Linked DNA regions of Macaca mulatta. The protein of the gene in region 1 interacts with the protein of each later gene in a pairwise test. Links are inferred from orthologs where the notes say so. Each region holds a gene or a part of one and is shown on either strand. Other genes may lie near its edges. The genes, in order: FSD2 and CORO1A.

Region 1 (3,805 bases):
GTTTTTTGAGACGGAGTCTCTCTCTGTCACCCAGGCTGGAGTGCAGTGGCGCCATCTCGGCTCACTGCAAGCTCCGCCTCCCGGGTTCACGCCATTCTCCTGCCTCAGCCTCCCAAGTAGCTGGGACGACAGGCGCCCGCCACCACGCCCGGCTAATTTTCTGTATGTTTTAGTGGAGATGGGGTTGCACCATGTTAGCCAGGATACTCTTGATCTCCTGACCTTGTGATCCGCCCGCCTCGGCCTCCCAAAGTGCTGGGATTACAGGCGTGAACCCCCGTGCCCGGCCTGAGGGACTTCTTAATGATCCATTTGACTTGCAATTAGGGCAGTGGGGGACACCCCTGAACTCCTTCTGGGCTGACTTGCCACATGTCCATATCTGTGCATATTCATCAATTTCCCAGTGCAGTCATAGCATCACTGGGTCTGCCACAGAGTGGCCACTTTGGGTCCCAGAGACTATGTGGGCTGGGGCACAGACCTATGGTGTGGACTGTAGCTGGCTCGCTCCTCACGCTGGGGCCCCCCATGTTGAGGGCTCGCACACAGATAATGTAGTTCCGCCCCGGCTGCAGCTGCACCAGGGACTCGCAGGTCGGGATGCCTACAACAGACCTGTACAAGGAAGCAGAGCTGCAGTCAGAATGGGGCCAGGACACCTGGGCCCAAGCACCAGGCATCCCTTTCAAAGCTGGAAGGTTTAACTCACTCTTGCGCCCCTGTCCTCTGATCCACACTTACAGCAGCACAGCCAGGAGTGCTGGCTGCCCCTTGGCATTCCCTCCCACAGTCTCTGGTCTGCTCTTGTCACTTCATTGCTACTTCTTGTGTTTGTGGCTGTCTCCTCTCCAAGTCCCTCATTCTGGTTTCCCAGGCACCCAGCACCGCGCTTGGCATATGGCTAACACTGCATCATGGAGTGTGCATGCAGTGGAATCCAGTATGTCTCTGTCTGTCTGTTAGGATCATAATGTCTCTGAGTACCGCTATTCTTAGTACAGTGCTGGGCCCATAGAAGGCCCTCACTTCAGCCAGGTGCGATGGCTCACATCTATAATTCCAGCACTTTGGGAGGCTGAGGCCGGTGGGTCACTTGAGGTCAGGAGTTCGAGACCAGCCTGGCCAACATGGTGAAACCCTGTCCCTACTAAAACTACAAAAAGTAGCCAAATGTGGTGGCAGATGCCTGTAATCCCAGCTACTCAGGAGGCTGAGGCAGGAGAATTACATGAACCTGGGAGTTGGAGGTTGCAGTGAGCAGAGATCATCAGGCTACTGCACTCCAGCCTGGGCGACAGAGTAAGACTCTGTCTCAAAAAAAAAAAAAAAAGAAGAAGGTCCTTGATTCATGTTTATGAACAAATAATTCTAACTTTCTAACTAGAGCTGAAAGGGTTAACTGCTATTAACCCACTGAGAACAGCTGCCTATTGGAAATAATTCAAGATATTTAAATTGTACTATACAGAAATATAAGCCCATAATTGCCACTGCCTATATTGCTGCGGTTGCCAACCCCATGTCAGTCCAGTGGGCAAGAAAAGTCTTTAGGATGAGGCCCATTTACCAATACAACATCCTCACCCAGATGAGGCCAGGTTGTCTAGGTTATCTTCAGGCTGCAGCTCTGGGCCAGAGGGGCACTTTTATGCATTCAATAAATATTAACTAAACTCCTCAGGTTCCAGGCACTGTATAGGGAGGCCCTCAGAAAAACCAAATGTAGTTCCTGCCCTCATAGAGCTTCCAGTCTAGATGGGAAGAGCAGCATTCTTCAAGCAATCACTGGAAGGAATGTAAGATGGTAACCATGACAAGTTGACAGTGTGCTATAGCATATAATGGTGGGGGGAGGATGGCTTTTGAGCAGAGCTCTGAAGAATGCTGAAGAGGTAACTGTATGAAAAAGGGACAGAGGAGTCTCCTTCACAGGAGAAGCATGTGCCAAGGCCCTGTGGCAGGAAGGAGTGTGAAAAGTAGGAGGAACTGAAACGTGACCAATGTGGCGGGAGCTTTAGAGGGAGGGGAGCTGATGTGAGAGGAGTTGGAGAGGCAGGAAGGGGCCAGAGCCTATGAACGAGTTTTGCCTTTTTTCCGCCATGGGCTGCCATGATTGGATTTGTACTGGAAGAATATGCAACAGCTCTCAGGTCATCTCTCAGGTTACTGACCAGCCCTCTGGTGACCTCATCATTGTGAGTTGGTCCCAGGTGTCAAGTGCGCCTAAAGTATCAGCATAAATTGCAAAGGAAACCTGAACCCTTAGGATGGCCAGAACCACTGGACACCCTGCCCCACTCCTGAGTATCCCCAGAGTGGATTACCAAGGTCAGCCTCCATGTGGCCATGGACATGCAGATTCCACCTGGAACAGATGGATGGGTGGCATATGGCCATGTTTCAAACCTGGCATTTAGCATAGAAGAATCTGCTTCCGTAACAGTTGACACCAATCCCTCTTCATTTCTCCAGCTCCAGGTCGGTGCAACCCTGTGCTCCACAGCAGGGGAGCCCCTGGTCCTGGTGGCTGGTGCTGGCCTGCCTGGCTGGTTCATCCCCTTTCACAAGCTTCTGTAAACCAGAGGTAAACCTATGCTTCCTCCATCATAGGCTGCTGTAAACTCAGGTTCTGTGAGCCCTTGTGGTCACTGAGTCCAACCCTTATCAATTTGTGAACCCCTCCAGCTCTCAGAGAATGAGGGGTGAGCATGAGCTTCCAGACAGTCTTCTATGATAGATGAAACATTCTTTGTACATTGAGCTGTGATCTCTTTTGTTTTCGCCTATGAGTTTCACCCTCTCCTCTCTGAATTCCAGCTAAGTGGGTCTTTCAGTTCCTCCAGCTGCTTACTCCTGCCCCCAGGGTGTGTGTCCATGCAGCCCCCTCCCACTGGAGCACCCCTGCATTCACTGTTCTTGGGGCTCAGTCTTTCCCATCTGTTCAGGTCTCAGTTTAAACATCTTCTTTATCCAAAGTGGATCCTCACCTCCACCACCATTCTCTGTTTTATTACATTTCTTTTTCCTTCCTAGCACTGCATATTTTGCACATTGGTTTGTTTTCTTGCCTTTTGTCTATTTCCCCACCAGACTGTCAGCCCCATTAGGGCAGGAAGTTTATCCATCTAGTTCCCAGTGCCTTGCACAGGACCTGACACCACCCAGGCACTCAATGCTTGTTGAATGAATGAATGAATGGGAAACCTTACTTCAGGTAAAACAACAACAAAACCTGAGGTTCAGCCAACTTATTCATTCACTCATCATTCACCTTCAATAATAGCATTCCAGCTACTTCTCATGAACACTAAGCAACCAAAAATTGAGATTCCTGTGTATCAAAAATGCCAACCTTCTCTTCAGACTCCATATACTTCCTAAGCCATGTCACTGTATCAGGTGTCAGGGCTCGCGTGCCCAGCAAATGCCCTTATGACTCACTCAGTTACACCTGAGGCCTCTGGACTTTCAGCCTGGGTCAGCTCCACAGTGTACGAGTCCACAGGATTCAGGTTCCCAGACTCCCAGCAAATCAGCACAGCCTCTTCACAGCTCCTTATCTCTTTTGTTTTTATAATGGGGGGAGAAGGCGCTAAATGTGGGAGAAAGGGAGAGATGAACAACTGTTGGGTTCATTTCCAGTCATTTTGTTCAGAGCCACGGACAAACATCACAGCCACCTTCTTCCTCCCACAAAAGAGATTCAGTGCAATCAAAAGCAAACCAGGGAATCCCTTCCAGATGTTTCTGGAGTAGAAGATGGTTGCAAGGTTTAAATGTCAGTGTGACGGAGAGTGGCAGT
Region 2 (4,425 bases), on another chromosome or scaffold:
CAACCCTCTCTGTGTTTCCATGGGGAGAAAGCCCCAGGCTGAGGCTGGGGAGGGCTGGTCATGGGTCTGCAGGACTGTCTGCAGTCGGGGGCCCCCAGACCCCATCACAGCCCTCTCTGTGTTTCCAGCCCCAGGCTGAGGCTCAGAAGGGCTGGTCATGGGCCTGCAGGACTGTCTGTAGTCCTGGTCACTGGTGTGACCCATCTTGTGTTGGCTCCTTCTGAGCATCAGTTTCCACACAGCCACAGCACAGAGGAGCTAGAGGAAGTGTAAGGCTCATGGGGCCCAGCTCAGTTTTCCAGATGGCAACACAGGCCCTGGAAGGCCTGGTGACAGTCACCTAATCAGGACCTCCACAGAGCCATGGGTCGGGTGGAGGAGCTGCTACCCCCAGGGCCCCAGGGGCTCACCTTGCCCAGGGGCAGCACCAGGAAGGCCCCTCCCCCACTGGCCTCACAGATCAGGGCCACAAACTTAGGGTTGACAGCACAGAAGCCACTGTCCCAGGTGGTCTGTGAGACGCGCACATCTTCATAGCACTGGTCGGCCTTGGCTGGCTGTCCAAACACGTGGCGGAACTTGCTGGAGCGGACCACCTGCCGGCTCATTCTAGGGGCACACAGGATAAGAGCATTTCTCCCTTAGGGTCAACTCTGATCTTCCAGTGGTCCCCACCTCCCCCAGGACACCCCTCAGTCTGGCTTTTGAGGTCCCAGCATCATCTCCAGGGGCTCCCTATCCTTTCCTCTGTGGCTTATGCCCGCTCGCCTTCCCCGGCCTCTCCTTCCATCTAACCTGCAAGCCCCCTTCTCCCTGGCCCCAGGCCACTCTGAGTCACACACTCAATCTGTACCCTCAGCCTCTGCAACAGAGCCTGGCGTGGTGTTGCCCCCACTGCATGTTTGTTGACTGACTGGCTGATGGATACAGAGCCCGTCCTTCCTAATGGTTCAGACTCAGGCGTCATCAGCCCAGATGGCTCTGAGGGTGGGTTCTCTCTTAGTTACAGTGTCCAGAGCCCACCTCCCTCACACCCACACAGCGCTTCCTAAAGGCAGGGACAGGGGCTGGCCTCCTTCCCCTGCCGGTGCGGGGCTGGACACAGGAGGAAGTGGCGTGGGGGCTGCCCGAGGGGAGTGAGGTGGCAGGATGGCTTCCCCAGCAGGTCTCTGGCTCAGGTCCCAGTATCTTCTCCTCCCCATACCTCTGCCTCTTGCCTTCGCTCAGAAAAGCAGGTGCCCTTAAGAGCCATCTCCACCCCCATGTGAACTGCACACAGGAAGGGAGAAGCCACTCCAACTGCTCTGATGTCCAGCTAGGATGGTTTCCCCCAGTGTCTGGTGGGGAGCAAGGAACTCCAGGGACGACCTTGTGCCACCGCATCACCCTCCTGCTCAGGGAAGGGGCCTGTGCTACCGCTGAGAGGGTACCGTGCCCAGAGCCTCTGCCCCTAGCCTCAGCCTCGCCTACTCACTGGGGGCGCCAACACCCCTGGCCACCCCAGGACTCCCAAAGAGGCTGCTAGGTCGGCCTGCCCAAAGAGCGGTGAGGAGCGTACGTGAAGAGCCCCCGTCTTGAGGAGCAGCCAGGGTCTGGAGAGAGAGGAGCCCCGGACCAGAGGTGGGGGACAGGAAGCCATCGCCCCACCCTGCCTCCTCCCCCGCCGCAGGTACCAGGCCCGGAAACCACGGAAAGGGGAACTTGGTCTTTTCTTGTTTTGCTCTCAACCCCTTCCTGTCTCCAAGCCCAGGGCAGCTGCCCCACTCACCCCACCCTGTCCCCGTCCCCACCCTCCCCGAGACTTAATTCCGGGGGGAGTCGGGCCCTCGACGCTGTGCTAACCCCCGGCCGCCCACCTCCATCTTGGCCGCGGTGGTCCCTCGCCCTCGCCTCCGCAGAGCGCTCTGGGGCCCCGGCGGCCCCCACTCCAGGCAGCGTCCCCCCACGGGCTGCTGCGCCCGCTCCCTGGCCCCGGCGCTGGCTGGGTCGCGGTGACAGCCGCGCGCCCCCGCAACCCGCGGCTCCCACACGCGCGCCGCCCCACAGGTGGCCCTCGCCCCGGTCCACCCGCGCCTCCTGGGCCCAGCCTCACCTGCTGCAGAGAGAGGACAGTGACCCCCCAAAAGCCGGAGGTGGAGGAGGAGGAGGAAGAGGAGGAAGGAGCTGGAGGAGCCGGGGACTCGCCCGCTGAGGATGCTCTTGTCAAGACAATGAATGAGAAGCAGCCGTGTGCCCGCCTCCAGGGTGGCCGCGCCCCTTGGGGCGGAGCTCTTCCAGGCCCGCCCTGCGCTCCCGGGCCCCTGCTGCGGCCGCCTCCCTCCCCTGCCCCAGCCCGCGCCCCACGTTGGTTCCTAACCATAGCGCAGGCTGCCAGCCCGGCTCCGGGAAGCGAATCTGCACTTCTTTTTAAAATGTCAAAAGGCAAAAACACCCCGTTGCTTCTTTTCTCCCTGCGTCCGCCCCTAGCCTCCTCTCCAGCCTTTCCCTGGCAGGCACGAAAGCGCTCCAGGCCCGCCCGCCAGGCCTCGGTGTCCGCCCCAGCCCGGCGACGCCGCCCCCTCCTCCCGACCCCGCAGACGCGAGCGCGGGGAGCGCGGGGGGCGCGGGGGGCACGGGCGAGGAGAAGCCCAGAGCGCTCCCGGACCCAAGGGACCTGGCTCTTGCTTGGCTCCGAGATCTACACATGGGTGGCCCCGGGAGTCGCTTCTCCTCCCTGGTCTCCTGTCTTCATCGGGAACACCCCTGCCCTCCTGCTGAAATAATTCGGCATCACGGGCACCTACTTCGTGCCAGGGGCTACAGGGTCGAGCGAGGCAGGCGAGCCAGGCAGGCTCCCGCCCGTGAAGAGCCCAGCCTGGGGGAAGGAGGAGGAGCCCACGGCCGCTCCAAGCCCGGCTTTGGCGAAGGCTCGAGGGCAAGGAGGAGTAGTTCCCACCCTTAGATTCAGAGAGGCTTCTGGAGACAGCAACAGCGGGCAGGAAAGGCCTGCTCTAGAGTCAGACTATGTCATGAGTGCGACCGCAGCCTGTCACCTGCTGAGTGACATGTGGCCGCTACTTAGCCTTTCTCAGCGTCGGTTTCTCCCTCTGTAACAGTCATACCTGCCACGTAAGAGGTATGGGTATGATTACCTAAAATAACCCAAGAAAGTCAGTAAGGACCTCATCTAGAAAGTGGCGAGGGCTTAATAAACGTTAGCTCTCGGCCATGCGTGGTGACTCACGCCTGTAATCCTAGCACTTTGGGAGGCCAAGGCTGGCGGATCACCTGAGGTCAGGAGTTTGAGACCAGCCTGGCCAACATGGTAAAACCACATCTCCACTAAAAATACAAAAATTAGCGTGGTGTAGTGATGCATACCTGTAATCCCAGCTACTCAGGAAGCTAAGGCATGAGAATAGCTTGAACCCAGGAGGCAGAGGCTGCAGTGAGCCAAGACTGAGCCACTGCATCACCCAGTCTTCCCTGGGTGAAAGAGCAAGACTCTGTCTCATTAAAAAAAAAAAAAAAAAAAAAAAAAAGTTAGCTCTTGTCATTCTTGTTTACAAAGTATCTGGGCTGGGCCCAAAAGGATGAGGAAGAGCCAACAGGCAAGGCTAGAGGGGTGACCTGTAGGCTGAGGGACAGCCCTGTCATGTGGAGAGGTTCAAGGAACAGCAAGGGACGGGTTCAAGTCCCACCTCTGCCACTGACTGGCTGTGCGATCTTGGGCAAGAGGGCTGATCTCTCTGAACCTCGTTTTCTCATTGGTAAATGGGGAATTAATAAGATTTGTCCTGCCCACCTCACAAAGTTATGAGGCTCTGGCCAGGCACGGTGGCTCACGCCTATAATCCCGGCATTTTGGGAGGCCAAGGTGCGCAGATCACGAGGTCAGGAGATCGAGACCATCCTGGCTAACATGGTGAAACCCTGTCTCTACTAAAAATACAAAAAATGAGCTGAGTGTGGTGGCGGGAGCCTGTAACCCCAGCTACTCTGGAGGCTGAGGCTGGAAAATGGCGTGAACCCGGAAGGCGGAGCTTGCAGTGAGCCGAGATCGCAGCACTGCACTCCAGCCTGGGCGACAGAGCGAGACTCCATTTCAAAAAAAAAAAAAATTAGCTGGGCGTGGTGGTGGGCGCCTGTAGTTCCAGCTACTCAGGAGGCTGAAGCAGAAGAATCGCCTTAACCCAGGAGGCAGAGGTTGCAGTGAGCTAAGATTGCACCACTGCACTCCAGCCTGGGCAACAGAGTAAGACTCCATCTCAACAACAACAAAAAAGTTACTAAACTCAAACGAGACAATAAATCTGTAAATGTTCTATAGATTATGCAATTGTAAAAACCTTAGGGTTGTACTGTACTCAAAGGCCTGCAACTGGATGGGACTAGACCAAGGTGAGGTGGGTACTCTGATGTGCAGTCTCCAACAGAAGTGACAGG

What was found.
Region 2: the proteins of FSD2 (region 1) and CORO1A interact in binary tests that used the Homo sapiens proteins (3 or more experiments, as listed by UniProt). The two-hybrid records come from large-scale screens. The link is inferred for Macaca mulatta from reciprocal best matches to the Homo sapiens genes FSD2 and CORO1A.

The regions. Positions count from the first base shown.
Region 1 is NC_133412.1:73,986,609-73,990,413, reverse strand, and holds part of FSD2 (fibronectin type III and SPRY domain-containing protein 2), read right to left. Parts: intron 3,596-3,805; coding exon 3,445-3,595; intron 619-3,444; coding exon 485-618; intron 1-484.
Region 2 is NC_133425.1:28,379,340-28,383,764, forward strand, and holds the start of CORO1A (coronin-1A), read right to left. Parts: upstream 3,042-4,425; 5' UTR 2,784-3,041; intron 2,431-2,783; exon of another isoform or gene 2,047-2,430; intron 1,670-2,046; exon of another isoform or gene 675-1,669; intron 610-674; 5' UTR 609-609; coding exon 411-608; intron 1-410. UniProt on the Homo sapiens protein: May be a crucial component of the cytoskeleton of highly motile cells, functioning both in the invagination of large pieces of plasma membrane, as well as in forming protrusions of the plasma membrane involved in cell locomotion.